Linked DNA regions of Anolis sagrei. The protein of the gene in region 3 purifies or fractionates together with the protein of the main gene of each other region. This does not show direct contact. Links are inferred from orthologs where the notes say so. Each region holds a gene or a part of one and is shown on either strand. Other genes may lie near its edges. The genes, in order: RAB8B, RAB4A, GDI2 and RAB10.

Region 1 (7,763 bases), on a different chromosome or scaffold from region 3:
CGACATCAAGAGCATCCTGCTTTGGCCAAATAGAGATGGTTATTCCTGAATTTCTTTTTGTAATTAATTGGCCTTTTTGTATGCCTTAACTGATACCTAATAAATGACTGACGGATTGTTCAACTGTTCACTGTTGAGTTGCCTTTTAGTGGGATTGAATTTCTGTCGCACCTCAGAGTAGAACCACCTTGCTCACGACAACAAAGAACGCACCAGCAGTAGTCTTTATAGTTTTATTAAAAGAAAAGCTAAAAGGTTCAAAAAGCAAAAGTATATTTCAAAAGATCAATCCAAGGTGACACGGGCAAACAAGATCCATGAAAACATAGGCAAGGCAAGGTCCCATGAGAACATGACAAAGTCCTGAAACATGAGCATGAAAAGCTGCAAGATAAATCCAGAGTCTCTTGGTTGAAGCGGGAAGTTGCTCTGACACCGAGGTACATTCGAACAGTCTGTTTTGCACATCGCAAGTGCTGAACCTGACTCAGCACATGGAAGATGGCTTTGAAAGGCAGCAGATCACTGGCACTGTCTTCATAGACCTCTCAGCAGCCTATGAGACTGTGAACCACCACCTCTGCCTGAGAAAAATGTATAAGTTTCGGAGTTTCGGACTGAGGTGTTATCTCTACGCAGATGATGTCCAGATCTGTCACTCCTACTCACCTGTCACCAAGGAGGCTGTCCAGACCTTGAACCGGTGCTTGGCCGCTGTGTCAGACTGGATGAGAGCTAACAAATTGAAATTGAATCCAGACAAGACAGAGGTACTCCTGGTCAGTCGCAAGGCCGTATAGGGCATAGGGTTACAGCCTGTGTTAGACGGGGTCCCACTCCCCCTGAAGACGCAGGTTCGCAGCTTGGGAGTGATCCTGGACTCACCGTTGAGCCTGGAACCCCAGGTCTCAGCGGTGGCCGGGAGAGCTTTTGCACAATTAAAACTTGTGCACCAGTTGTGCCCATACCTTGGGAAGTCAGATCTGGCCACGGTGGTCCACGCTTTTGTTACATCCCGATTAGATTACTGCAACGCACTCTACGTGGGGTTGCCCTTGAAGACTGTTCGGAAACTTCAACTGGTCCAGCGAGTGGCAGCCAGGCTGCTCACTGGAGCGACATACAGGGAGCACACCACCCCCCTGCTGTGTCAGCTCCACTGGCTGCCAGTTCAGTTCCGAGCCCAATTCAAGGTGCTGGTTTTGACCTACAAAACCCTGTACGGTTCCGGTCCAGTGTATCTGTCCAAACGTATCTCCCTCTATGTCCCACCCTGGAGTCTGAGATCATCTGGGGAGACCCTGCTCTCAACTCCACCGCTTTCCCAAGTGAGGCTGGTGGGGACGAGGAGCAGGGCCTTCTCAGTGGTGGCCCCTCACCTGTGGAACTCACTCCCGGCGGATATCAGGACATCGACATCACTCCTGTCCTTCAGGAGGAGGATAAAGACATGGTTGTGGGACCAGGCCTTCGGGCAATCTGCCAACTAAGTAAGGACAGCCAGACAAATAGGACCGGCAGGACTGATAACTGTGGAATGAACTCTGAACTATGAGACAGAGAATATTGACCGGCAATAAGGAGTAATTGGTTTGTATCGGTTTGTATGAAATATTTTATGGGTTTTATTGGTTTTATTGGGTATGGATATGATGTACTGTTGTTGTTTGCTATTTTGCGCTATTGTGTTTTTATCATTGTTGTATGTTACAGGCATCGAATTGTGCCTTGGATATGTAAGCCGCCCTGAGTCCCCTTCGGAGTGAGAAGGGCGGGGTAAAAGTAAACCAAATAAATAAATAAATAAATAAATATAATATCACCAAGGACGACCACCTCACCCGCCTCATAGGAAACCTGCTACAAAACAGGAGCTTTTTTGTTGAGTTTCAGGGCCAGAGAAGCAGATGGCGGAAACAGAAGAACGGCCTGTCTCAGGGGAGCGTGCTTGCTCCATCCATGTTCAACATCTACACAAATGACCAGCCACTGCCAGAAGGGACAGAGAGCTTCATCTATGCCGATGATCGTGCCATCACCGCTCAAGCAGGGAGCTTTCAGATGGTAGAACAGAAGCTCTCCAAAGCTCTAGGTGCTCTTACTGCCTATTACAGGGAAAACCAGCCGATCCCTAACCATATATCATATATATAATATCACCAAGGACGACCACCTCACCCGCCTCATAGGAAAATTGCTACAAAACAGGAGCTTCTTTGTTGAGTTCCAGGGCCAGAGAAGCAGGTGGCGGAAACAGAAGAACGGCCTGCCTCCGGGGAGCGTGCTCGCTCCATCCATGTTCAACATTAATATATAATAATATAATGTATAATATTAAATAGAAAATAATAATATAATAACAATATAACGTACAATGTGTAATAGAAAATAATATAATAATATATAATAATATATAATATTGAGTAGAAAATAATAAATAATAGTAATATAAAATAATATATATGGTATGGTATCTGGACTGACCTTGAAGGAGCTGGGGGTGGTGACGGCCGACAGGGAGCTCTGGCGTGGGCTGGTCCATGAGGTCACAAAGAGTCGGAGACGACTGAACGAATGAACAACAAATGGTATCTAATAGAAAATAATAATATATAATAATATGTATAATATCAAATAGAACATAATAATATAATAACAATATAACGTACAATGTAATAGAAAATAATAATATAATAATATATAATGATATAATATATAATATTGAATAGAAAATACTATAATATAATGTATGATATTGAATAGAAAATAATAGTAATATAAAATAATATATAAGGTATGGTATCTAATAGAAAATAACATAATTATATATAATAATTATAATATCAAATAGAATATAATAATATAATAACAATATAACGTATAATGTGTAATAGATAATAATATAATGATATATAATGATATGTAATATTGAATAGAAAATAATATAATATATTATAATATAATATAATGAATAGAAAACAATAAATAATAGTAATATGAAATAATATATAAGGTATGGTATCTAAAAATAACATAATATATAATAATATGTATAATATCGAATAGAAAATAATATAATAACAATATAACATACAATGTATAATAGAAAATAATATAATATATAGTAATATATAATGATGTATAATATTGAATAGAAAATAATAATAGTAATATAAAATAATATATAAGGTATGATATCAAATAGAAAATAATATAAAAATATATAAGAGAATGTATACTATTGAATAGAAAATAATAATAACGATATATCATGCAATGTGTAATAGATAATATAATATATAATGATATAATGTATAATGTTGAATAGAAAATAATAATAGTAATATAAAATAATATATAGTATGATATCAAATAGAAAATAATATAAAATATATAATATAATGTATAACATCGAATAGAAAATAATAATATAATAACGATATATCATACAATGTGTAATAGAAAATAATATAATATATAATGATATAATGTATAATACTGAATAGAAAATAATAAGTAATAGTAATATAAAATAATATATGAGGTATGATATCAAATAGAAAATAATATAGTAATATAAATTAATATAATGTCATCAGCATACTGGAGTTCTATAACAAGGTTGTAAGTCTTCTGAATGCACACAGACGACGTTGTCATCAGTATACTGGAGTCCTATAATAAGGTTGTAAGTCTTCTGAATGTCATTAGCATACTGGAGTTGTATAACAAGGTTGTAAGTCTTCTGAATGTCATCAGCATACTGGAGTTGTGTAACAAGGTTGTAAGTCTTCTTCTGAATGCGCACAGACAACGTCATCAGCATACTGGAGTTCTATAACAAGGTTGTAAGTCTTCTGAATGTCATTAGCATACTGGAGTCCTATAACAAGGTTGTAAGTCTTCTGAATGCGCACAGATGACGTTGTCATCAGCACACTGGAGTTCTATAACAAGGTTGTAAGTCTTCTGAATGCGCACAGATGATGTTGTCATCAGCATACTGGAGTTCTATAACAAGGTTGTAAGTCTTCTGAATGCGCACAGATGACGTTGTCATCAGCATACTGGAGTTCTATAACAAGGTTGTAAGTCTTCTGAATGCGCACAGACAACGTTGTCATCAGCATACTAGAGTCCTATAACAAGGTTGTAAGTCTTCTTCACAATGTGCACAGATGATGTTGTGGAGTTCTATAACAAGGTTGTAAGTCTTCTGAATGTCATTAGCATACTGGAGTCCTATAACAAGGTTGTAAGTCTTCTGAATGCGCACAGATGACGTTGTCATCAGGACACTGGAGTCCTAAAACAAGGTTGTAAGTCTTCTGAATGCGCATAGATGACATTGTCATCAGCATACTGGAGTTCTATAACAAGGTTGTAAGTCTTCTTCTGAATGCGCACAGATGACGTTGTCATCAGCATACTGGAGTTCTATAACATGTTGTCCTAACCTTGGTTTTGGCTTTCAGCCTGCTGAGGTTAAACAGCTTGCCAGCTTCCCATCCACAAGGTGAGAAATCATAGCTGTGAAGATGGAGAATAGAGTTGGGGCAAGAACAATAATAATAAGAAGAATAGGTTCCCAATTCAGGGCACACTTCCGGTCTCTAGCTCAGGGGCAGAGCATTAGGGAGGTACAAGACTACAATTCCCAGGAGGCGTTGCGCGCGGGCGGAAGCGAGAGGGCGGGGATTGGCCCCTCCTGCTCCTCCTCTGATTGGCCCCTCCTCCTGCTCCTCGCCTTGGGCCTGTCTTCCGGTGCGGGCCTGCTCATTGGGGAGGAAGATGGCGAAGACGTACGACTACCTGTTCAAGCTGCTGCTGATCGGGGACTCGGGCGTGGGCAAGACCTGCCTCCTCTTCCGCTTCAGCGAGGACGCCTTCAACACCACCTTCATCTCCACCATCGGTGAGACAGACCAGGGAGAAGGGAGAAGGCAGGCCGGGAGGGAAGCCATCCGCCCGCTGAGGGGCCACACGCCCCGGGCAGGGAAATCACGCCAGGCAGGCCTCAGGGGGGAAGCTAGGCCGCGCCTTGGCACTCCTCACAGCATCCTCATCCTAATAATAGTAATAATAATATAGCAATAATCAATGTCTACTTGGGGAGAAGGAAAGCCAGGTGGGAGGAATAACACAGAGAAAAAATAATAATAAGTATAATAATAGTAATAATAATAATAAGGATAATAATAATAATAATATAGTAATAATCAATGTCTACTTGGGGGAGAATATAATAATTATAAATGGTGTGGAAATAATAATAATAAATGGGGTAGAAATAATGATAATAATAATTATAAATGAGGTGGAAATAATAATAATAATAATAGTAATAGTAATAATAATAATATAGTAATAATCAATGTCTACTTGGGATGAGAATATAATAATTATAAATGGGATGGAAATAATAATAATAATAAATGGGGTGGAAATAATAATAATTATAATAATTATAAATGAGGTAGAAATAATGATAATAAGGATAATAATAATATAGTAATAATCAATGTCTACTTGGGGTGAGAATATAATAATTATAAATGAGGTGGAAATAAACAATAATTTCATAATTATAAATGAGGTGGAAATGATAATAATAATAATGATAATAAATGGGGTAGAAATAATAATGATAATGATGATAATAGTAATAATAATAATAAAAGTAAATGTGGAAATAAATAATAATGATAATGAAGATAATAGTAATAACAATAATATTGTAATAATCAATGTCTACTTGGGGTGAGAATATAATAATTATAAATGAGGTGGAAATAAACAATAATAACATAATTATAAATGGAGTGGAAATAATAATAATGGGTTGGAAATAAATAATGATGATAATAGTAATAATAATATAATAATAATCAATGTCTACGTGGGGAGAAGAAAAGCCGGGTGAGAATATAATAATTATAAATGGGGTGGAAATAATAATAATAATAATAATAATGATAATGATAGTGATGATAATAGTAATAATAATATAGTAATAATCAATGTCTACTTGAGGTGACAATATAATAATTATAAATGAGGTGGAAATAAACAATAGTAACATAATTATAAATGGGGTGGAAATTAATGATAATGATGATAATAGTAATTAATAATAATAATAATAAAAGTAAACGTGGTGGAAATAAATAATAATGATAATGATGATGATAATAATAATAAAAATAAATGTGGTGGAAATAAATAATAATGACAATGATGATAATAGTAATAATAATAATATAGTAATAATCAATGTCTACTTGGGGTGAGAATATAATAATTATAAATGAGGTGGAAATCAACAATCATAACAATTATAAATGGGGTGGAAATGATAATAATAATAAAAGTAAATGTGGTGGAAATAAATAATAATGATAATGATGATAATAATAATAAAAATAAATGGGGTGGAAATAAATAATAATGGTAATGATGATAATAATAATATAGTAATAATAAATGTCTACTTGGGGGAGAATATAATAATTATAAATGGGGTGGAAATAAACAATAATAACATAATTATAAATGGGGTGGAAATGATAATAATAATAATAAAAGTAAATGTGGTGGAAATAAATAATAATGATAATGATGATAATAGTAATAATAATAATAATAATAATAATAATTGGGGTGGAAATAAATAATAATGGTAATGATGATAATAATAATATAGTAATAATAAATGTCTACTTGGGGGAGAATATAATAATTATAAATGAGGTGGAAATAAACAATAATAACATAATTATAAATGGGGTGGAAATGATAATAATAATAAAAGTAAATGTGGTGGAAATAAATAATAATGGGTTGGAAATAAATAATGATGATAATAGTAATAATAATATAATAATAATCAATGTCTACGTGGGGAGAAGAAAAGCCGGGTGAGAATATAATAATTATAAATGAGGTGGAAATAATCAATAATAACATAATTATAAATGGAGTGGAAATAATAATAATGGGTTGGAAATAAATAATAATGATAATGACGATAATAGTAATAATAATAATAATATAGTAATAATCAATGTCTACTTGGGGAGAAGAAAAGCCGGGTGAGAATATAATAATTATAAATGAGGGGAAATAAACAATAATAACATAATTATAAATGGGGTGGAAACAATAATGACAATGATAATAAATGGGGTGGAAATAAACAACAATAATAATGATGAATGGGCTGGAAATAAATCATAATAATGATAATAAATGGGGTGGAAATAAACAACAATAGTAATAATGAATGGGGTGGAAATAATAATAAATATCCTTGTGGAGGGAAAAAGTGGGGTAGACATAAAATATAATGATAATGGGATGGAAATAAACATAATAATAAATTGGGAGGGAATAAACAAACATAATAATGGCCATCTGTTGGGGATGCTTTAAACGCATTGTCCTGCTTCTTGGCAAGGGGGTTGGACTAGATGGCACACGAGGTCTCTTCCAACTCTAGGATTCTATGATAATAATAAAAATGGGGTGGAAATAATAATAATAATAGTGGTAGTAAAAATGTCTCCTTGTGGAGGGAAAAAGCAGGGAATAAATAAATAAATAATAATAATGCTAATAATAACAAATGGAGTGGAAATAAACATAATAATATTAATAATAATAAAAAGGGATGGAGATAAACATAATAATAATAATAGGGTGGGAATTAATACTAATAATGTCTCCTTAAGCGGGGTGGAAATAAATAAATAAATAATAATAAT
Region 2 (7,757 bases), on a different chromosome or scaffold from region 3:
ATGGATCACTTGCTAGTCTGATATAGATTGTAGTAGCAGCACTATCACTATACTATACATATGTGGTATAACATATGTGGTGCCTTGGACTGTAAGAAGATCAAACCAGTCCATACTCCAGGAAATAATGCCCAACTGCTCACTGGAGGGAAGAATATTAGAGGCAAAGATGAAGTACTCTGGCCACATAATGAAAAGTCAGGAAAGCTTGGGGAAGATGCTAAAGAAAATGGAAGGAAAAAGGAAGATCAAGGGCAAGATGGATGGATGTTATCCTTGTAGTGACTGGCTTGACCTTGAAGAAACTGGGGGTGGCAACGGCTGACAGGGAGCTGGGCTGGTCTACGAGGTCATGAAGAATCAGAAGTGACTGAATGAATAAACAACTACTAAGCTCCCTTCCCTCATATTTGTTTTGAAAGTATTCTTGAACCAGAAAACAAGGATGAGAAATACTGAGATTTATTATGGGTCTGGCCCACCATGTATGGATGATATAAAAACTTCTGAAATAATATGTATTATGCAGTCCTTTAAGGATCTACATAAACTAAAGGCACGTTGTCCTGTGAGATCTTCGAAGCTAAGTAGGGAAAGAGAAAGACCACATTACTGATAAGCTTGATTTAATGAAGGATGCCATAGGACCCAACTAATCTAAAAGCACTAGTCTATCTGATCTTGGAAGCTAAGCAGGATCAGCTTGGATAGTACTTGGATGGGAGACTGGCATCAAAACTCTGGCACTGTTATCTGTTATTTCAGAAAAAGGGACTGGCAAAACCACTTCTGAGCACTCCTTGCCCCAAAGAAAGCCCTATGAATTTGATGGGTTCACCGTAAGTTAGCAGGTGAACTGAATGTATACACAGATACACAAGCCCTTAAGGCAGGGGTCCTCAAACTAAGGCCAGGGGGCCAGATACGGCCCTCCAAGGTCATCTACCCGGCCCTCGCTCAGGGTCAACCTAAATCTGAAACGACTTGAAAGCACACAATAACAACAATAACAATACTATCTCATTAGGCAAAAGCAGGCCCACACTTCCCATTAAAGTACTAATAGGTTTATATTTGTTAAAATTGTTCTTAATTTTAATTATTGTATTGTTTTAAGTGAGGTTTTTTTTTTTTTGCACTACAAATAAGATATGTGCAGTGTGCATAGGAATTCATGTTGGGTTTTTTTTCAAATCATAATCCGGCCCTCCAATAGTGTGAGGAACTGTGACCTGGCCCTCTGTTAAAAAAGTTTGAGGACCCCTGCCTTAAGGGCTCTGTGCTTCACAGGAAAAGCAATTCTCATGTACTCCTTCTTCAAGCAACAACCCAATGCACATCACTCCTACTTGCTCTTTTCCCACTCCTGGTCCAGTAGGGGGAAAAAAGCAGCCCTTAAAAAAGAGCACAGAAATAAAGATATGGAAAAGAACAGGGAGCAATATGCAAGGTCCTCTTAGGAGGAAGCAATCTTGCACGACACATCATGCACCCTCTTTTTTGTTGAGAATGTGGATTTGCAGTAAAATAAAACAAAATCAACAAAAGTGCAATACTCTTATTGGCCAACCATAACACACAAAATACCTCATGCAGACTTTTAGTGGCTCCATTGGCAAGATTGTTTATAAAGTATTGAAAAGTGATGGTGTTTCAGGCATGGGCAAACTTCAGCCCTCCAGATGTTTTGGACTCCCAACTCCTACTGGTTGTTAGGAATTGTGTGAGTTGAAGTCCAAAACACCTGGAGGGCCAATGTTTTCCCATGCCTGGTATTGAATCATGGGCCTCATCACTGTCATGAAACTTCCAGATTACCTGCTTTGAACTGGATTATATAGTGGAGCCTTGGTGGAGCAATGGGTTAAACTGCGAGATGGGATGGGTTCCTGCCTGTCAGCTCCAGCTTCCCATGTGGGGACATGAGAGAAGCCTCCCACAGGATAATAACACATCCAGGCATCCTCTGGGCACCAGAAGTGACTTGTGGTTTCTCAGGTCGCTTCTGACATGATTTTAAAAAACTGGATTATATCAGTCTACACTGCCATATGATCCAGTTTTTTAAAATCATGTCAGAAGCGACCTGAGAAACCGCAAGTCGCTTCTGGTGCCCTGAGGATGCCTGGATGTGTTATTATCCTGTGGGAGGCTTCTCTCATGTCCCCACATGGGAAGCTGGAGCTGACAGGTGGGAACTCATAATCTGGATTACATAAAGAATCATTTAATTGGATGAGATCTCATGGATCATCCAGTCCAACCCCTTGCCAAGAAGTAGGAAAATTGCATTCAAAGCATTCCCGACAGATGGCCATCCAGCCTTTGCTTAAAAGCCTCAAAAGGAGGAGCCTCCACCACAGTGTTGATGGGCCCACGGGCCTGCATTTTGTACCAGATGATGTTCAGTTGGGTTGGAGCAGGCCTGGGCAAACGTGGGCCCTCCGGGTGTTTTGGACTTCAACTCCCACCATTCCTAACAGCCTCAGGCCCTCTCCTTTCCCCCCTCAGCCAACGAAGCCGTTTGGTGCGTTTTAGGTCACCATGAAGGGCCTCGCTCTGTTGTGGCTTTCATGCTGTTTTGCGTGAGGGCGAAAGATGTGTCATGGCCTTTGTAAGGTAAAGGTACCTATTCCCACCACAGGTCCAGGGATGTGGGAAAGGTTGGTCACTATTGGCGAAGAGAGAAAGGACTGGGCTCCTGGGCCACTGAGAGGGATAGACATTCATTCGCCAGCCCTGCTTCCCTCCCTCAGAAGAGGCCAAGGCCAGCCCCTCCTCTCCTCTCTCCCCTTCCCTACCGTAAGTCTCGGACATGGCTGTCTGCGACATCTTGGGCGCGAGGAGGAGGCCGCTGGGGTTCGCAGGGCCTTCGGGCGCCTCAGCCGCGGCCCCAGGGCACCCCGAGAAGCCTCCCGCTCCGAGCGCGAGGGGAGGGAGGGAGGGAGGGAGAGAGGGAGGGAGCTTGGCAAGGAGGAGCCCAAGAGCGCCTCCAGCAGCAGCGCGTGAAGGGGCCGCTCTACGCCTGCGCACGGAGCTCCTCGCGCTTGGCCCCGCCCCAGGCCTCCCTTGGTGCGCAGGCGCGCCGGGCCGCCAACGGCTCTTTCTCCCTCTCACCAAAACAAAACGCACGTGCGCGCCGGTTTTGAAACCCGAAGTGCGTTCCTCCTCCTGCCCCCGCCCCCCCTGCTGGAAAGGGGCGGGGCTGCGGGGAGGGAGTGGGCCCCGCACCACGTGACCGCTCGTGCCCCCGCTGCAGTGGAAGCAGAGTTGGAAGAAACCATAGAAGCTGCAAGTCGCGTCTAGTATGAGAGAATTGGCTGTCTGCAAGGATGTTGCCCAGGGGATGTACGGATGTTTAGATGATTTACCATCTTTGTGGGAGGCTTCTCTCATGTCCCCACATGGGGAGCTGGAGCTGACAGAGGGAGCTTATCCGTGCTCTTCCCTGAATTCAAACCTCCAACCTGTCGGTCTTCAGTCCTGCCAGCACAAGGGTTTAACCCATTGCACAACCCTAGCCATGTCAGTTAAAGTGGTGTGACGTTAGACTATAGATGCGTCTGAGGAGGCAAACGATTAGATGCCCTTGGGAAACTAGAAATCCCACATTATCATTGTAGTGGCTCAATGGGTTAAACCCTTGGGTTGGCAGGACTGATGACCAATAGGTCAGAGGTTCAAATCCAGGGAGAGCAGGTAGAGCTCCATCTGTCAGTTCCAGCTCCTCATGTGGGGACATGAGAGAAGCTTTTCACAAGGATGGTAAACATCAAACATCTGGGTGTCCCCTGGATAACGTCCTTGCAGATGGCCAATTCTCTCACACCAGAAGCGACTTGCAGTTTCTCAAATCATTCCTGACATTAAAAAAATACGTGAAGATGTCACAGGTTGTAGATCAAAATTATTGGGACATCTCCAAACATTGCGGAGCACCCAGCATAGCCAATATAGGAATGCTGAGGGCTGCGGTCCCAACTGCTTCTGAAGGCTGCACTGATTCTTTTAAAATGCAGCACATCCTCTTTTCGTCCTTTGTTTCCTGTATCTGTTCATCCTCTTTGTATTTTTATATTATTGATTGCCATGTCTTCTGCTTTCACCCTAAGCAACCACAGCACAGCTGGCAACAGAAGCAAGTCCTACACATATATTAATATTTACATAGACCTTTGTATGGAAATTGCTGCCAAAGGCAAGGACTACTTCAAGATATTTACAAATACTGAACACCTGGGGTGAAAATTGCAAATGGTTAGGAGTAATACCTAATATAGCACATTTTTTTACAATGTTATTCGCAGTTTAATTAAATATTTAATATTTTTGCCGTATTGATGTCAAGCCAAGACATCCCTCACCTCAGCAAAAGTCTTCATTTGGACCATGGCAGGAGATTCAAACATCACCAACTGAACCCCTGAGTCCCGATGGCTTGCTGGAGGAAGACTTGCAACAGCTGCCAGCTCCAGAGGATTCACTGCCTTCATACTCGAAAAACCCAGGCAATAGGCAATAAAGGATTGCTTATGTGTGTTTGTTGTAATATTTTGTGTTTTATAATTTCATAAAATACCTTTGGATCCATGAAGCCACCACCATGACATTGGTGACCTTTCACTGGCACGCCTTGACCTGGGATTCCCCTTGTGTCTCCCTGGTCTCCACCTCAACAAAGGACTCAAGCACCCATCATCTTCTGAATCAATCCATCTCTATTGATTCCAGACTTCACAAAGGATGACCGGACCCTGAATTGGGCTAACCTTTTGTGTGGCCATAAGGACTTGCGATCACCTGGCACCCTTCCTGAAATTTGGAAGGTTGCTGTAAGTTTTTTGGGCTATATGGCCATGTTCCAGAAGCATTCTCTCCTGATGTTTCGACAACACATTTGGAAGGTTCTGCCACTGTTTTTCCTGAATGCCATTTCCCCGTAATGGATTCTTTAATCCCATCATTCGGGACAGCATATTTGTAAGGTCAGAAATGGGCATGGGCACCAGACCCACCTGATGGGTTATTCACTGGGTAATCACAAAGACAATAATCCTCAGGGAACAGATAGCCCTGCCTTGTTAGTCCCCAAGTTGAGACACTAACCCATTCATAAAATTATATTCTCCACATTTTTCAAAATCCATTTATCATAGGGACAGAAAGTGAGGTGAAATCTTCTGAACAGGGGCACAGACAGTAAAAATCAACCCCAAAATCTGGGTCACATCCACAGGGCAATGTAATTATTGTATATCTTACTTGACTCTTATTAAAATACTAGTCCTTTCTGAGTAGAGGGGCAAAAGGCAAGAGCGTGGCCCATTCTGGAGGAACCTAAAACAAGCACTAACCCCTTTAATCTTCTGGGCCTTTTGAATGCCAGAGTTGTAAAATGTTAGCCAAGGTGGCACTTTCCTCATTTCACAGAATGACCCACGACTTATTCACTAGTCATCTCAAAATCTATAATTTTGGCCCCGAAATCTGTCCACAGCTTATACATGTATTCAACTTATACTTCAGCATACATGGTACTCCCTTCTTACCAATTCCAACTAGTTCTTTGCTTCCTAACAAATATTACTTCCAGACCATATTCTGGGCACAGATATAGCTATAGGCATTGTCAGTGTCTACCAAAAAGCCATGACTTTTTGTATGGAGTCGAGCATAAAATAAAAATTGCAACTGTAAGAGGAGTATGAAAATATTAAATGTGGGGCAGCACAAGAAAATAGTTCAGTAGGACAGAGAATTCAAAGAGCGACTGCAGGAGAGAGCTGTTGCCATTGTGTCCTACTTGTAGACTGCATTAGCTGTTGCAGATAAAGATGTTTAAGAGCTTCCTGGTTTAACCTAGTGCTGTATAGAGCACTGCTTCTTAAACTGTCAGTCCAACCCCAAATGGGGTCCCCATGATTCATTGTTGTCAAAAGGGAAAGGTTTCTGAATGCCACACTTTTGCACCAATCTTAACAAAACCATGCAGTGTTTGTAGTGGACTTTGAAGCAAATGCTTCAGCTGTATGTCACAAAAAGAAAAATCGGCCTGTTTAGCAAGCCTTGAAAATTCTGATTTATTATCATCAGTGTTTGATTTTATACCTATCTTATATATACCTATATTCCTGGAGCATATAAAATAATTTGGGTGGAAAGAGGTCACGAGAAGCAAAACTTTAAGAAGTCCTGGCATGGAGCACCACCACTATACTTTTATTTTGGTGAAATTCAAACAACTAAATGGATAGGCTAAAACATTTTTTTTTGGCAGAGATTATTCCACAGCAAAGTGCTACTATCTGTGTTCCATATTTCTTCAAGAAATACCTCTGATCTGAGAGCTGACCTTTTTCTAGTATGAAATCATATGGAGGATATAGAATTGTTTCTTCTTGTGTATTACAATTACAGTAGAGTCTCTGTTATCCAACCTTCTTTCATCCAACATTCTGTATCATCCAACGTAGTCTCCCTCCTGCCTGGGTCCGCAGCTGTTTCAATACATTGAGATGTTTTAATGCTAAATTTGTAAATACAGTAATTACTACATAATGTTACCGTGTATTGAACTGTTTTCTCTGTCTGTTTGTTGTAAGACATGATGTTTTGGTGTTTAATTTGTAAAATCATAACGCAATTTGACATTTAATAGGTTTTTCCTTAATCTCTCCTTATTATCCAACATTTTCTCTTATCCAACTTTCTGCCAGTCCGTTTATGTTGGATAAGCGAGACTCTACTGTACCACAATCACATAGATAACTCTATTCACAAATAGGTTATTTACAAATGTATTCATTTCATACATGCCTTGCCTTGGAAGTAAAAAGTACATCAAAGACACCTTGACAATACAGCTAACAATAAGTATTGATTAAAATCATAACATTAAAATAGAACATTGAAAGACATAGCCAGTACCTATTCCATTGAACTCCTTCAACAGCAAACTAGTTTATATGCCAAAGGCATGCTTGAATAAAAAGTCAGTCTCTTGTTTGCAGAAGGAAATTCATTTTCTATCAGCAAGTTCCAGAAATTGGGAGCAGCCGCCAAGAAAGCCTGCTCTTATGTCCTCTTATTCTTGCCATAGTAAGTCTTAAGACATAGTCTGCTCTGTAAGGGGTTGCTCTCTCTCTGAAAGATTTATTTGTTTATCGTGTCATCAGCAACCATACCATTGTATTACAATTCTAACAGAACAAAACAAACACACAGATTAAAAAAAACAAAAAAACACACACACACAGATTTTGCAAACTTGGTAGTTGGTTAAATGTTCTTTGGCCAGTATCTGGCCACTTGGAGTGCCTCTGGTGTTGCTGCAAGAAGGTCCTCCATTGTGCATGTGGCAGGGCTCAGGGTGCATTGCAGCAGGTGGTCTGTGGCTTGTTCTTCTCCGCACTCGCATGCCGTGGATTCCACCCTGTAGCCCCATTTCTTAAGATTGGTTCTGCATCTCGTGGTGCCAGAGCGCAGTCTGTTCAGCGCCTTCCAAGTCGCCCAGTCTTCTGTGTGCCCAGGGGGACATGAGAGAAGCCTCCTCGCAGGATTGCAAGACATCCGGGCGTCCCCTGGGCAATGTCTTCGTAGACGGCTGATTCTCTCGATCCAGAAGCAACCAGAGACGACTTGCAGCATGCCTCTGAAAGATCAGGTCCATAGTTTGGAGGTGCATTTTTGAGCCAGATTCAAGTTGCATTATATGGTCTCTGTAGATGTATCTTTAGGCTGTAGATCACAACCATGTA
Region 3 (7,818 bases):
CTTTCAAGTGCTCTGTGTTTCATGTATCAAGTTTTTGCCAAACTCAAGTTGCCTATGGGATTTTCCTCCTGTTTTGTTCCATGGTTTCAAGTGTCTTGCTTTGCGGATTTCTATATACTAATGGGACTTGTTTCCCTTTGAAGCATATGGACTATCTTGGATTTTGGCCTCCAACTGTTTTGCTATTTTTTACTGCTTTGCATACATATATTCTACCAAGGTGTGATGTTTAAGGTCAGAGGTGTTCCTCCTCTGGTGTACAACATACCCAAAGAGCCCCAAAAAGAAAAGACATTTCAAATGGCTTGAACTATATTGATTTTACCATATGGTTACTTCCTTCATCTGAAATGTAGCTTGCAGCACCTGGTATTCACTGTGGTCTCCCATCCAAATACCAACCAGGTTTGACCCTGCTTAGATTCCAAGATCACTTAGGATCTGGTGCCTTTTGGTATTTAGACCATTTACCTTAGGTAAAGTTAAAGGTAGTCCCCTGTCATTAAGTCCAGACATGTCCGACTCGGGGGGGGGGGGGTGCTCATCTCCATTTCTAAGCTGAAGAGCCGGAGTTATCCATAGACACCTCCAAGGTCATGTGGCCAGCATGATTGCATGGAGTCCCATAACTTTCCCACCGGAACGGTACCTATTGATCTACTCTGTTGAACTACAACATACACACATTTGCATGTTTTCAAACTACTAGGTTGGCAGAAGCTGGGGCTAATAGCGGGAGCTCACCCGCTCCCCGGATTCGAACCACTGACCTTTCAGTCAGCAAGTTCAGCAGCTCAGCGGTTTTACCTGCTGCACCACCAGGGCTCCAGCATATAGTAGGCATGGGTAAACTTTAATTCCCACAATTCCTAACACTGTTGAATGAATATTTTAATTAAATCTTTCCAAAGTTAAACTACGAAGCCGAACAATGCTTGCGATTTTATTCTCCTCTCTTCCTCCTAAATCTTGGCAGAACACAATCCAGTTAATTCATCCAGCCGCTTTGAGTCGCTAAAGACTGATTCGGCAGGCCCAGGCAAGCATCCGTATGAAAAATGCGATGCAACTACGAAGTGTGTTTGTGTTTGCAAGGGATCACCCTTTCCGCAGACTCAGCAGCCAAAGTACTTAGGAAGGCTTTACGTCCGCTCCATGGTTTGCATCTGTCACAGAGGGACCCGTCCTCCAGGCCTGTCTCGCCCGCACTTTCCCTCTCAGTCAACCGGAATGGAGAAAGCTTTCTGCTTCCTTAAGCCTTCCATTAGGCAGCAGAAAATGTGATTTGCTTGTAATAATGATTTCTCCTGCTCCGGTTGTGAATCGCAAACAGCATCCCTGCTTCATTTCACACCGTGAGTGAAAGGTTTACTTTCAGGGCGCAGCTCATTGAAAGGCGGGAGATCCGTGTCCAGCAGGATCTCTTCTGAGATGGAGGCGGCTTATTTGGTTTTCTTTGACATTGTAGGGTACTTATTTACTTACTCGTACTCAAAGGATGATGGTCCTCCAAGGTTGGTGTTCTGGCGGTGGGTCCGTAGGTGGTGGTCTTCCATGATGGGTTTCCTTGTGGATTCGTAGGTGACTGTGGAGCCCTATTCTTGACCTGCATCTTCTCTCGCAGTGAGGACATCGGTTTCAGGTGGAAGGCAGTCCCAGTCGGGGTTGGCTTGACGCACCTTCCTCCTGGCACGTTTCTCTCTTTCACCCTCCATTCAGGCCTCTTCAAATTCTGCAGCATTGCTGGTCACAGCTGACCTCCAGCTGGAGCGCTCAAGGGCCAGGGCTTCCCACTTCTCAGTGTTTATGCCACAGTTTTTAAGGTTGGCTTTGAGCCTGTCTTTCCATCTCTTTTCCTGCCCTCCAACATTCCGTTTTCCATTCTTGAGTTCGGAATAGAGCAACTGTTTTGGGAGATGGTGTTTGGGCATCCGGACAATGTGATTGGTCCAGCAGAGTTGATGGCAGAGGACCATCGCTTCAATGCTGTTGGTCTTTGCTTCTTCCGGCATGTTGACATTTATCCACCTGTCTTCCCAAGAGATTTGCAGGATTTTCCGGAGGCAACACTGATGGAATCGTTCCAGGAGTTGCATGTGACGTATGTAGACAGTCCACGTCTCAGAAGCTTATAGCAGGGTTGGGAGGAAAATAGCTTTATAAACAAGCACCTTGGTATCCCTACGGATGTCCCGGTCCTCAAACACTCTTTGCTCCATTCGGAAAAATGCTGCACTCGCAGAGCTCAGGCGGTGTTGCATTTCAGTGTCAATGTTGATGTCTGTAGACTGTCCACGTCTCGCAGGTGTATAGCAGGGTTGGGAGGACAATGGCTTTATAAACAAGCACCTTCGTATCCTTATAGATGTCCCAGTCCTCAAACACTCTCTGCTTCATTGGGACAAATGCTGCACTCGCAGAGCTCAGGTGGTGTTGAATTTCAATGTCAATGTTGGCTTTTGTGGAGAGGTGGCTGCCAAGGGAACGGAAATGGTCAACATTTAATAATAATAATAATAATAATAAAACTTTATTTATACCCCGCTACTATCTCCCCAAAGGACTCAATGCGGCTTACATGAGGCCAAGCGCACAGTACATCAGTAAACAAAGGCAATAACAAAAACAATCAATACAAAACAATTAATATAAATCACATAAACAAAAAATATACAATAACAGTAACACACAAGCATTTAAAAATGGTGTAACATTTTCTAATGTTACACCATTAAGCTGTATCTCTGGCATTGGAGAGGGATTGGCTGGTGACTGCTGGAAGAGGACTTTGGTTTTCTTGATGTTTAATGACACGCCAAGCTGCTCGTATGCTTCTGCAAAGGTGTTTAGAGCAGCTTGTAGGTCTTCTGAATGCACACAGACGACGTTGTCATCAGCATACTGGAATTCTATAATAGATGTTGTTGTAGGGTAGGTTTAGAGGAAAGCCTTGGGATCGGATGGGAGTTGCGGTCGTCCTGGTATTGGAGCTGTTTCCACCGACTACATTGGAATTGAAGATGCCAGTTCTTGACTTCATTATATGACGGGGAATCATCACAATAAATCCTTTTCACCTCATTGAACGTCTCCCTTGGTGTGCGGCCTTTCAAGGAAAGGAACTTGAGGACTGCTCTGTGTTCCACTGGGTCCATTCTCAAACCTCACACCACTTCAGCACCTGTCTCATCAAAACCATTAAATTGGCACGTAACCTATAAAGACTTTGATCATTACACATGTGCATTTTCAGCAATCTGTGATAAACAGAAGTGGGTTAGAGAGAAATCTTTAATGAACGCCCCTTGTAAAATTGCAAATATATATATATATATCCAAGATTATAAGAGATTTCAAGATATTTAAAATCCAAGAGTTAGGTTAAAATTGCAAAATAAATCCAGAATTACAAGATATTATAAGATATTTTTAAAATTCCAGAATAATGTTTTAAAATTGCAAAAATAATCATTGCAGAATTACAACTATGTTAAGGTTAAATGCATTTTAAAAATAAATAATATATAAGAAAAATTTCTAGAATTATGTTTTAAAATTGCAAAAATAATCATGGCAGAATTACAACTATGTTAAGGTTAAATGCATTTAAAAAATAAATAATATATAAGAAAAAAATCCAGAATTAATGTTAAAAATTGCAAAAATAATCATGGCAGAATTGCAAATATTTTATTGTTAAATGCATTTAAAAATAAATAAAATAATGGGAAAAAATCCAGAATTTTGTTTTAAAATTGCAAAAATAATAATTGCAGAATTACAAATATATTAAGATTAAATGCATTTAAAAATAAAAATAATATAGGAAAAAATTCCAGAATTATGTTTTAAAATTGCAAAAATAATCATTGCAGAATTACAACTATGTTAAGGTTAAATGCATTTAAAAAATAAATAATATATAAGAAAAAATTCCAGAATTAATGTTAAAAATTGCAAAAATAATCATGGCAGAATTGCAAATATTTTATTGTTAAATGCACTTAAAAAAATAAATAAAATAATGGGAAAAAATCCAGAATTTTGTTTTAAAATTGCAAAAATAATAATTGCAGAATTACAAATATATTAAGATTAAATGCATTTAGAAAATAAATACAATATAAGAAAAAATTCCAGAATTATGTTTAAAATTGCAAAAATAATCATTGCAGAATTACAAATATGTTAAGGTTAAATGCATTTAAAAAATAAATAAAATATAAGAAAAAATTCCAGAATTATGTTTAAAATTGCAAAAATAACAATTGCAGAATTACAATTTTTTTAAGGTCAAATGCATTTAAAAATAAATAAAATATAAGAAGTTCAGGATGTATGTATTTATTTGGAGCTCAGAACCTCATTATGCACCAAAAACTTTGCAAGGCAACCTTTCCCCAGGTCCCTTCTCGCTTATGCGCCTGCGCCAAAACTCCCAGGCTCTGACGTCAGCAGGAGCCAACCAGCGTGGCAGCGGCGCCGAGGGGCGTGGCCTTCCCCCTTTCGCCCCGCCCCTTAGCGACAGCGTCTCTTAGAAGGGAGGGGAGGAAACAAAAAGTTGATTGACGTCGCCAGGGAGACCAATGACGGCGCCGGAGCGGCTCAGACACCACCTCGAGCTCCTCCCATTTTTTTCGGCCCAATGGAGAGGCCTGGGGCGGCAGGAGGGTCCCGGCAAGCCCCGCCCACCCAACGAAGCCCCGCCCCCCAGCTGGAGAGGGTGAAGGCGCCAGGAAGCTCCGCCCCAATCCTGGGAGTCCACGCCTACGCCACGCCCCCTGGACAAAACCCCGCCCCCCTGGCGCGGTCTCCTCACAGCGGCGTTGGCAGAAGCGCCTCCATTTTGCGCTCCTCCTCATCCTCCTCCCGCGAAGGAAGCGAAGCCCTCGCCGGCCCTCCTCCACCTCCTCCTCCTCCTCGGCGCCGCCGCCAGCAGGTCCTCTTCGCCGCCGCCATGAACGAGGAGTACGACGTGATCGTGCTAGGCACCGGCCTCACGGTGAGCCAGCGAGCGGGCGGGAAAGGGGAGCTAATCGAGGCAGGCTCCGCAGAGAGGACTAGGCCGCGCCCCCCCCTACTCCACCTCTCTTGTCCCTTCAGGGCCTCCGTAGACATTTCTCTTTCCCTGCAGGGAATACTCTTACTACTATTAGCAATAATATAGGGATACACTGCCAATATACAGATTATATGCCAAATTATATGATAGTATATATAATATAATATTGATATAATTTAATACAATATAGTACTACTAATAATATATTGTAATTATATATTTTATATTAAATGTAATATTACTAATATTAATATTGTGCTATGGTAATGATATACTACTAACAGTAATTTAGGGATACACTGCCAGTATACAAATTATATGGCAAATTATAAATATAAATATAAATTATAAATATATGTCATCTTGTCTTTCCTAATAATATAATATAGTTTGTTGTATATACATATAATATTTATAATATTATAATGTAATACAATACAATACTAACAATAATATAGTTATACGCTGTTTGGTTGTTCACTTAAGTAACCGGATCAAATTTTGCCATAGTCACTGTTGAATGTTTTTATATTGAATATTTTATATTGTGTATAAACTGTTTTAAATTGTAAGTCGCTCGGAGCACCTTGGTGGAGAGCGACTATTTATTTATTTATTTATTTACTTTATTTGTATACCGCTCTTCTCAGCCCTTAGGCGACTCAGAGCGGTTTACAAGTTTAGATATACAGAATACAAAATCATTGTGCATTTAAAAACAATTACTATTTATTTATTTATTATTTATTTACTGCGCTTATATACCGCAATTCTCAGCCCTTCAGGGCGACTCATTGCGGTGTACAACATGAAGAAAACAAGTGCAAGAAAACAAGACATAGTGCAAAACAGTGTACAATTCATCCTAATCATAAAAACATCTTATCAAACAACAACATCAATACAAAATCACTACTACATTCCGAGTCGTCTCATCGTCAAGTCACAATCCGATCTCTTTTCCAGTGTTCCATTCCTATGGTCAATTGCCAGTCATTGCACTTATTGGTCAAATGCCTTCTTAAATAGCCAGGTCGTTAACTTCCTGCGGAATATCAGCAAGGAGGGGGCTAGCCTGATGTCCACGGGAAGGGTGTTCCACAGCCGAGGAGCCACCACCGAGAAGGCCCTATCTCTCGTCCCCACCAGCCATGCCTGTGAGGCAGGCGGGATCGAGAGCAGGGCCTCCCCGGAAGATCTCAAAGTCCTCGTGGGCTCATAGGCCGAGAGGCGGTCAGTAAGGTATTTTGGGCCGGAACCGTTTAGGGCTTTATAGGCCAGTGCCAGCACCTTGAATTGAGCCCGGTAGCAGATTGGCAGCCAGTGGAGCTGGTACAGTAGAGGGGTTGTATGCTCCCTACGTCCCGCTCCTGTTAGCATCATGGCTGCCACACGTTGGACTAGTATTATATTGCATTACAGTACAATATTATAAATATTATATGTATATATTATATTATAACATATTATTAGAATAGCACAGGAGACAAGGTGGAACTGTCCCCTGGCCCCTCTTTCTTTGCTCTGGCCCAGAGCGGCAGTTGGTGCTGTGGGGAGGGGTCCCCAACGGATGGCAAATGCAGGAGACAAGATGGTGCTGTCCCCTGGCCTCCCCTCTCTATAAAGTGATGATGATGATGATGATGAATACTAGTAATAATAATTCAATATTATAATTATAATTATATATTTACATTACATGTAATATTACTAATAATATTACAATATAATGGTATAGTGCAATATAGTAATATATACTGATATTGTACTATGTTAATAATATAATATATTGTATGAAAATATATATTGTAAGCCGCTCTGAGTCCCCTTCGGTGTGAGAAGGGCGGAATATAAATGCCATAAATAAATAAATAATAAATATAGTGCTATGTAATATATAATATTAATAGTGTGCTATGGTTATGATATACTACTAACAATAATATAGGGATACACTGCCCGTATACAAATTATATGCCAAATTATATAGTATATATAATATACATATAATATTGATAATATTATAATGTAATACAATGTAGTACTACTACTAATAACATGATCTTATAATTATATATTTTATATTAAAGGTAATATTATTGATAATATTACAGTATAATGTTATTTTAATATGTAATATATAATATTAATATTGTGCTTCTAGCTGTCCCCTGCCACACGTTGCTGTGGCCCACATGAGGGTTCTGTGTGGAAGGTTTGCCCAAATTCTATCGTTGGTGGGGTTCGGAATGTTCTGTGATAGTAGGTGAACTATAAATCCCAGCAACTACAACTCCCAAATGTCAAGATTCTATATTCCCCAAACTCCACCAGTATTCACATTTGGGCATATTGAGTATTCGTGTAGAGTTTGGTTGAGATCCATCTTTGTTTGAGTCCACAGTGATCTCTGGATGTAGATGAACTACAACTCCAAAACCAAAGGACACTGCCCACCAAACCCTTCCAGTATTTTCTGTTGGTCGTGGGAGAATTGTGTGCCAAGTTTGGTTCAATTCCATCCTTGGTGGGGTTCAGAATGCTCTTTGATTGTAGGTGAACTATAAATCCCAGCAACTACAACTCCCAAATGACAAAATCCATTTTTTGATTGAAGGATATACATTGGGTTGTTAGGTGTCTTGTGTCCAAATTTGATGTCAATTCGTCCAGTGGTTTTTGAGTTCTGTTAATCCCACAAACGAACATTACATTTTTTTTATATAGATCTCCTTCTCTCACGTCCCTCTCAATAT
Region 4 (8,107 bases), on a different chromosome or scaffold from region 3:
TCAGAGCGGCTTACAAGATATATATACATACAATATATTTTTAACATAGTACAATATCAGTTTTAAATATTGCTATATTGCACTATATAAATTACACTGTAATATTATTAGTAATATTACATTTAATATAAATATATAATTATAATATCATATTATTATTATTAGTAGTATTATATTGCATTACATTACAATATTATAAATATTATATGTGTTGTTGTTCATTCGTTCAGTCGTCTCTGACTCTTCGTGACCTCATGGACCAGCCCACGCCAGAGCTCCCTGTCGGCCGTCACCACCCCCAGCTCCTTCAAGGTCAGTCCGGTCACTTCAAGGATGCCGTCCATCCATCTTGCCCTTGGTCGGCCCCTCTTCCTTTTCCCTTCCACTTTCCCCAGCATCATTCCCTTCTCTAGGCTTTCCTGTCTCCTCCTGATGTGGCCAAAGGACTTCCACTTTGTCTCTAGTATCTTTCCCTCCAGTGAGCTTTAGTCGGGCTTTCTTTCCTGGAGGATGGACTGGGTGGATCTTCTCGCAGTCCAAGGCACTCTCAGCACTTTCCTCCAACACCACAGCTCAAAAGCATCTCTCTTCCTTGGCTCAGCCTTCCCGAAGGTCCAGCTCTCACCTCCGTAGGTGACTACAGGGAAGACCATGGCTTTGACTAGGCAATGGATCTTTGTTGCCAGTCTGATGTCTCTACTCTTCACTATTTTATCGAGATTGGACATTGCTCTCCTCCCAAGAAGGAAGCGTCTTCTGATGTCCTGGCCACAGTCTGCAACTGCACTCATCTTTGCACCTAGAAATACAAAGTCTGTCACGGCCTCCACGGTTTCTCCCTCTATTTCCCAGTTGTCAATCATTCTTGTTGCCATCATCTTGGTTTTTTTGATGTTTAGCTGCAACCTGGCTTTTGCGCTTTCTTCTTTCACCTTGATTAGAAGGCTCCTCAGCTCCTCCTCGCTTTCGGCCATCAAAGTGGTGTCATCTGCATATCTGAGGTTGTTAGTGTTTCTTCCAGCCATTTTCACCCCAGCTTTGCATTCATCCAGCCCCGCACATCCTTGCATGATGTGTTCTGCATACACATTAAAAAGGTTGGGTGAGAGGATGCAGCCTTGCCGGACGCCTTTCCCAACCTTGAACCCGTCTCCTGTTCCGTGGTCAGTTCTGACTGTTGCTCCTTGGTCCTGGTACAGATCCCTCAGGAGAGAGGGAAGGGGGCTTGGGATGCCCATCCCACCAAGAACTTGCCACAATTTATTATGATCCACAAAGTCAAAGGCTTTAGAAGAGTCAATGAAGCAGAAATAGATGTTTTTCTGAAACTCCCTGCCTTTCTCCATTCTGCAGCCTCCGGAGATTGGCAATCTAGTCTCTCGTTCCTCTGCCTTTTCTAAACCCAGCTTGAACATCTGGCAACTCTCGCTCCATGTCTTGCTGGAGTCTTCTTCCTTGCAGGATCTTGAGCATTCCCTTCCTGGCATGATGAGAAATAAGGGCAACTGTACGGCGGTTTGAGCAGTCTTTTGCATTTCCCTTTTTTGGTATGGGGATATAAGTTGATTTTTTCCAGTCTGATGGCCATTCTTGTGTTTTCCATATTTGCTGGCAAATGGCATGCATCACCTTGACAGCATCATCTTTTAAGATTTTAAACAGTTCAGCTGGGATCCCGTCGTCTCCTGCTGCCTTGTTGTTACGCAATGCTTCTTAAGGCCCATTCAACCTCACTCCTCAGGATGTCTGGTTCTAATTCATTCACCACACTGTCAAAGTTATCCTCGATATTATTATCCTTCCTATACAGATCTTCTGTATAGTCTCGCCACCTTCTCTTGATCTCTTCAGCTTCTGTTAGGTCCCTGCCATCTTTGTTTCTTATCATACCAATTTTTGCCTGAAATGTACCTCCAATGTTTCTAATTTTCTGGAAGAGGTCTCTTGTCCTTCCTATTCTGTTGTCTTCTTCCACTTCCATGCATTGCTTATTTGAAAATAGTTCCTTGTCTCTTCTGGCTAACCTCTGGAATTGCACATTTAACTGGGCATATCTCCCCTTATTATCCCTGTTTCCTTTTGCTTTCCTCCTTTCTTGGGCTACTTCCAGTGTCTCGGCAGACAACCATTTTGCCTTCTTGGTTTTCTTTTTCTTTGGGACGTACTTTGTTGCTGCCTCCTGAGCAATGTCGCGGACTTCTGTCCATAGTTCTTCTCTGTTTACTAAATCTAGTCCTTCAAATCTGTTCTTCATTTCCACTGTATATTTATTTATTTATTTGTCGTGTCAGAGCAACCAGTCTATTATATTACATTTCTAACAGAACAAAGCAAACAAACAGAAAAATACACAACTTGTGAGTTTGGTAGCTGGTTAAATGTCCTTTGACCAGTATCTGGCCACTTGGAGTGCTTCCGGTGTTGCTGCAAGAAGGTCCTCCATTGTGCATGTGGCAGGGCTCAGGGTGCATTGCAGCAGGTGGTCAGTGGTTTGCTCTTCTCCACACTCGCATGTCGAGGATTCCACTTTGTAGCCCCATTTCTGAAGGTTGGCTCTGCATCTTGTGGTGCCAGAGCGCAGTCTGTTCAATGCCTTCCAAGTCGCCCAGTCTTCTGTGTGCCCAGGGGGGGAGTCTCTCATTTGGTATCAGCCATTGGTTGAGGTGCTGGGTTTGAGCCTGCCACTTTTGGACTCTCGCTTGCTGAGGTGTTCCAGCGAGTGTCTCTGTAGATCTTAGAAAACTATGTCTAGATTTAAGTCATTGACGTGCTGGCTGATACCCAAACAGGGGATGAGCTGGAGATGTCTCTGCCTTGGTCCTTTCACTATTGGCTGCTACTTCCTGGCGGATGTCAGGTGGTGCAATACCGGCTAAGCAGTGTAATTTCTCCAGTGGTGTGGGGCGCAGACACCCCGTGATAATGCGGCATGTCTCATTAAGAGCCACATCCACTGTTTGAGCGTGGTGAGATGCGTTCCACACTGGGCATGCATACTCAGCAGCAGATATTCAATAGGAATGTTAGTAGTATTAGTCGTAGTATTATATTGCATTACATTACAATATTATAAATATTATCTGTATACACAATATATTATATGATAACCTATCATTAGAATAGCACAGGAGACAAAGTGGCAGTTGGTGCTGGGGGGGGGTCCCCAACTGATGGCAAATGCAGGAGACAAGGTGGAGCTGTCCCCTATATATTATATATATATTAGAGTATACATATATAAACATACATTGATATACTAAAATTCGACGACTGGGGATTCATTCCTGGGTCAGTTCCACAGGGAGCCTCTCAGGGAAGCAAGTAAGGAAGGGGGAAACAGGTGAGCCTGAAATAAACCCCTGCGCATGCGCGGACAAGGCCACGCCCCCTCCAGACCGTTGGCCCAACCGTCGTCGCAGGGAGATCTCTCCCCATTCGGAGGGAGGGAGGGAGGGAGAGCGAAGCCCCGCCCCTTTTCGGGGATGCCCCGCCCACGCTTGAGTCACTTCGCCGCCACGCGATTGGCCAGGGTATGTGTCTGTATATCTATATGTGTGTGTGGGGCCTCCTTTGCGCACGCGCACGAGCTGAGCTCTTACGTCAGAGCAGAGCGTGAGGGAAAAAGAAAAGGCCTGCCTTGCGTGCCCGTGCGTCCGTGCGTCGTCGGGCTTGCGCACGCCTCCCTCTGCGCACGCGCACTAGCCTGAGCTTGAACGCCACAGAGCTCCGCCCCTTTTCCTCTTGTGTGGAGAGGAAGAAAGGAGCGCTTCTGCGCACGCGCACTAGCCTGATCTTGACACCAGAGCTCCGCCCCTTTTCCTCTTGTGGAGAGGGTGGAAGAAAGGAGCGCCTCTGCGCACGCGCACTAGCCCGAGCTTGACGCCAGAGCTCCGCCCCTTTTCCTTTCTTGTGGAGAGGGAGGAAGGGAGCGCCTCTGCGCAGGCGCACTAGCCCGAGCTTGACGCCAGAGCTCCGCCCCTTTTCCTCTTGTGTGGAGAGGGGAAGAAGGGAGCCCCTCTGCGCAGGCGCACTAGCCCGAGCTTGACGCCAGAGCTCCGCCCCTTTTCCTTTCTTGTGGAGAGGGAGGAAGGGAGCGCCTCTGCGCACGCGCACTAGCCTGAGCTTCAACGCCACAGAGCTCCGCCCCTTTTTCCTCTTGTGTGGAGAGGGGAAGAAGGAGGGAGCGGCCGGCCTAGACGTGCGCATGCGTGCGTGCGGCCTTGCTCTTTTTCCCCCTTTGAGAAAGGGAGCGGCAGGCCGGCGTGCGTGCGTGCGTCCGTACGTGCGTCGTCGGGCTTGCGCACGCACCGAGCGCCGCCTGTCTCTGCGCACGCGCACTAGCCTGAGCTTGAACGCTACAGAGCTCCGCCCCTTTTCCTCTCTTGTGGAGAAGGGGAAGAAGGGAGCACTTCTGCGCAGGCGCACTAGCCTGAGCTTGAACGCCAGAGCTCCGCCCCTTTTCCTCTTGTGGAGGGGAAAGGAAGAAGGGAACACCTCTGCGCACGCGCACTAGCCTGAGCTTGAACGCCAAATTATTCCTCTCTTGTGGAGAGGGGAAGAAGGGAGCCCCTCTGCGCACGCGCACTAGCCTGAGCTTGAACGACACAGAGCTCCGCCCCTTTTCCCTCTTGTCGGCCCCGCCCACGCTTGAGTCACCTCGCCGCCACGCGATTGGCCAGTGTGTGTGTGTGTATGTGTGGCCTCCTTTGCGCACGCGCATGAGCTGAGCTCTTACGTCAGAGCAGAGAGAGAGAGAGAGAGAAAGGAAAGGCCGGCCTTGCGTGCGCGCGCGTGCGTGCTTGCTCTTTTTCCCCTCTCAGGAAGGGAGCGGCAGGCCGGCTTGCGTGCGTGCGTGCGTACGTGCGTCGTCGGGCTTGCGCACGCACCGGGCGCCGCCTCCTTCTGCGCAGGCGCACTAGCTGAGAGCTGAGAGGGGTAAGGAAGAAGAAGGGAGCGGCCGGCCTGGACGTGCGCGCGCCCGTGGCTGCGTGCGTGTGGCGTGAGCGCGCGTGCGGCCTACTCTCCTGCTCCTCCTCCTCTCGTGAGGCGGAGAGACAGTGACAGAGCCTGAGGGAAAGAAGCGAAGGGAAGGGATGGAGCGAGCATGAGGCCCAGCGCCGCCCGGCCGTGAAGGAAGGAAGGAAGGAAAGGAAGGAAGGAGCCCACCGGGAACACCCCACCGCCGCCGCCTCCCTCTCCGCTTGGCCTCTCCTCCACGCCGGCCGCCATTTTGTGCCTCCTCCTCCTCTTCGTCCCCTCTTCTCCTTCTTCTTCTCCCCTCGCCGGGGCTCTCCTGAGGGAGGAGGAGGGCTCGAGGGAGGGCCTGGCGTGTCCCGGAGCGGGGCGTCGCCGTCGGGCCCCATGGCGAAGAAAACCTACGACCTGCTCTTCAAGCTGCTCCTCATCGGCGACTCCGGCGTCGGCAAGACCTGCGTCCTCTTCCGCTTCTCCGACGATGCCTTCAACACCACCTTCATCTCCACCATCGGTGAGCAGGCCTCAGGGGAGGGGAGGGCAAGGGGGCACCCCAAACACCCTCCCCTCCTTCCCTCTTGCCTTTCCTCTCTTCCTTCCATCTATCCTTCTTGCCTGCCTTCTTCCTTTTCTTTCCTTCCTTCCTTCTTCCTTCCTTCCATCTTTTCTTCTTTCCATCTGTCCTTCTTGCCTGCCTTCCTTCCTTCCTTCCTTTTTTTCTTTCTTTTCTTCCTTCTATCTTTTCTTCTTTCTATCTGTCCATCTTGCCTGCCTTCTTCCTTTTCTTTCCTTCCTTTTTGCTTTCCTTCCTTCTTTCATTCCTACCTTCTTTCCTTCCTCCCTTCTTTCTTTTCTTCCTTTTATCTATCTTTTCTTCTTTCCATCTGTCCTTCTTGCCTGACTTTTCCCTTTCCCTTCCTTCTTTTTTCTTTCCTGCCTTCCTTCTTTCATTCCTTCTTTCTTTCTTTTCTTCTTTCCTTTCTTTTCTTCCTTCCATCTTTTCTTCTTTCTATCTGTCCTTCTTGCCTGACTTCTTCCTTCCTTCCTTTTCTTTCCTGCCTTCCTTCTTTCTTTTCTTCCTTTCTTCCATCTATTCTTCCTTCTTTCTTTTCTTCCTTCCATCTTTTCTTCTTTCCATCTATCCTTCTTGCCTGCCTTCTTTCCTTCCTCCTGTTCTTTGTTCTTTCTTTCTTTCTTTTCTTCCTTCCTCCTGTCCTTCGTTTCTTCTTTCCTTCCACCCACCCACCCATCCATCATTTTTCCTTCCATCTGTCCTTCTTGCCTGCCTTCTTCCTTCCTCCCTTCTCTTTCCTTCCTCCTTCCTTTCTTCCATCTTTTCTTCTTTCCATCTGTCCTTGCCTGCCTTCATCCTTTCTTTCTTTCTTTCTTGCCTGCCTTCTTTCTCCCTTCCTTTTCTTTCCTTCTTTCTGTTTTTCTTTCTTTCCTCCATTCTTTCCTTCCTTCCATCCTTCTTGCCTGCCTCCTTCCTTCCTTCTTTCCTTCCTTCTTTTTCTTTCCTGCCTTCCTTCATTCCTTCTTTCTTTTCTTCCTTCCTTCCTCCTGTCCTTTGTTCTTTCCTTCCTTCCATCTATCCTTTTTTTCTTCATCTTTCCATCTATATTTCTTGCCTGCCTTCTTCCTTCCATTTCTTTCCTTCTTTTTTCTGTCTTTTGTTTCTTCCATCCATTCTTCTTTTCTGCCTTTCTTCCTTCCCTTCCTTCCCTTCTTTCCTTCCTTCCTTTCCTTCTTGTTTCCTTCCATCTAGCCTTCTTTCCCGCCTTCTTTCTTTGCTTCCATCCATCTATCCTTCATTCTTTCCTTCCATCTATCCTTGCCTGCCTTCTTTCCTTCCTCCTGTTCTTCTTCCTCCCATCCTCCTTTCTTTCCTTCCTTCCACCTGTCCTTCCTTCCTCCCCCCCCCCAATCATCATCATCATCATCATCATTTCCACTGGGAAAAATTGCCTCTCTTTTTTTTATTCACATGCCTTTATTTCATTAATGATACTCATCTGCAAACACTGAAATATAGAGACTGTTCTTTGAGCCCCACACTCCTTTTATCCTACTCTCTTTAGACCAGGTGTGATCAAACTTTGGCTGTCTCTCCAGTGTTTTGGACTTCAACTCCCACACACCAATCAGACACATGCCTCTATTGACATGCAAACACAAACTGTACTAACCCTTGAGCACACAACTACAGAGAAAATCCTGCAAACCTCATACTCACAGGCTGTTGATCTTTATCCCTCATTAGTCCATTCATTTTAGGTATTGCTAAATTACGACACTTTTCAGAACATTTGTCTAATTCATGAATTCTACAATTGACATTCCCTCCCATCATTTCAGTGAAAAGATGGTAAATCCCAGTCTTTCTTGAAGCTGGTTGAGGATTTCTTCCTGATCAGCATCATCATCAGTTTGTTCGTTTTGGGTACTTTGCAGATCTTTTGGTGTTGGGGTAGCTGGCTCCTTCCATCCCTGTGCATAAACAATTCTTGCTGCAGTTATCATCTTCCATATTTTCTTCCGGGTTGATGGTGCAGGATTCCCAAGACATACAACTCTGGACTGGTCATGATTTTTAACTATAATAATTCCTTTCAGCATCATACATATTTTGAATTTATTATTTCTGGGCCTTTTTTTTTCAAAACCACTGACATATAGTAAAATATCCCAACCTTTTTCTCACATTCCAATATTTGATTGAACTGCCTTTGGACATCTAAGGAACTCTCTGCCATCAGGAAAAGGGTAATCATAGAATCAAAGAGTTGGAAGAGACCTCCTGGGCCATCCAGTCCAACCCCATTCTGCCAAGAAGCAGGAATATTGCATTCAAAGCACCCCTGACAGATGGCCATCCAGCCTCTGTTTAAAAGCTTCCAAAGAAGGAGCCTCCACCACACTCTGGGGCAGAGAGTTCCACTGCTGAACGGCTCTCACAGTCAGGAAGTTCTTCCTCATGTTCAGATGGAATCTCCTAATGTCGTAGTAGTAGTAATAATAACAATAATAATAATAATCTTTATTTATACCCCGCCACCATCTCCCCAATGGGGACTCGGGGTGGCTTACACAAGGTCAAGCCTGAACAACAAATTACAGCAAAATAAATCCAAAA

Evidence for each region.
Region 1: the proteins of GDI2 (region 3) and RAB8B purify together in Homo sapiens (affinity purification with mass spectrometry; 3 studies listed by BioGRID and IntAct, with this or other methods). This does not show direct contact. The link is inferred for Anolis sagrei from reciprocal best matches to the Homo sapiens genes GDI2 and RAB8B.
Region 2: the proteins of GDI2 (region 3) and RAB4A purify together in Homo sapiens (co-immunoprecipitation; 3 studies listed by BioGRID and IntAct, with this or other methods). This does not show direct contact. The link is inferred for Anolis sagrei from reciprocal best matches to the Homo sapiens genes GDI2 and RAB4A.
Region 4: the proteins of GDI2 (region 3) and RAB10 purify together in Homo sapiens (co-immunoprecipitation; 3 studies listed by BioGRID and IntAct, with this or other methods). This does not show direct contact. The link is inferred for Anolis sagrei from reciprocal best matches to the Homo sapiens genes GDI2 and RAB10.

Annotation. Positions count from the first base shown.
Region 1 is NC_090029.1:2,132,372-2,140,134, reverse strand, and holds the start of RAB8B (ras-related protein Rab-8B), read left to right. Parts: upstream 1-4,744; 5' UTR 4,745-4,791; coding exon 4,792-4,915; intron 4,916-7,763. UniProt on the Homo sapiens protein: The small GTPases Rab are key regulators of intracellular membrane trafficking, from the formation of transport vesicles to their fusion with membranes.
Region 2 is NC_090021.1:61,134,237-61,141,993, reverse strand, and holds the start of RAB4A (ras-related protein Rab-4A), read right to left. Parts: upstream 3,038-7,757; 5' UTR 2,833-3,037; coding exon 2,802-2,832; intron 1-2,801. UniProt on the Homo sapiens protein: The small GTPases Rab are key regulators of intracellular membrane trafficking, from the formation of transport vesicles to their fusion with membranes.
Region 3 is NC_090025.1:193,951,342-193,959,159, forward strand, and holds the start of GDI2 (rab GDP dissociation inhibitor beta), read left to right. Parts: upstream 1-4,645; coding exon 4,646-5,002; intron 5,003-7,818. UniProt on the Homo sapiens protein: GDP-dissociation inhibitor preventing the GDP to GTP exchange of most Rab proteins. By keeping these small GTPases in their inactive GDP-bound form regulates intracellular membrane trafficking.
Region 4 is NC_090021.1:1,393,409-1,401,515, forward strand, and holds the start of RAB10 (ras-related protein Rab-10), read left to right. Parts: upstream 1-5,062; 5' UTR 5,063-5,361; coding exon 5,362-5,488; intron 5,489-8,107. UniProt on the Homo sapiens protein: The small GTPases Rab are key regulators of intracellular membrane trafficking, from the formation of transport vesicles to their fusion with membranes.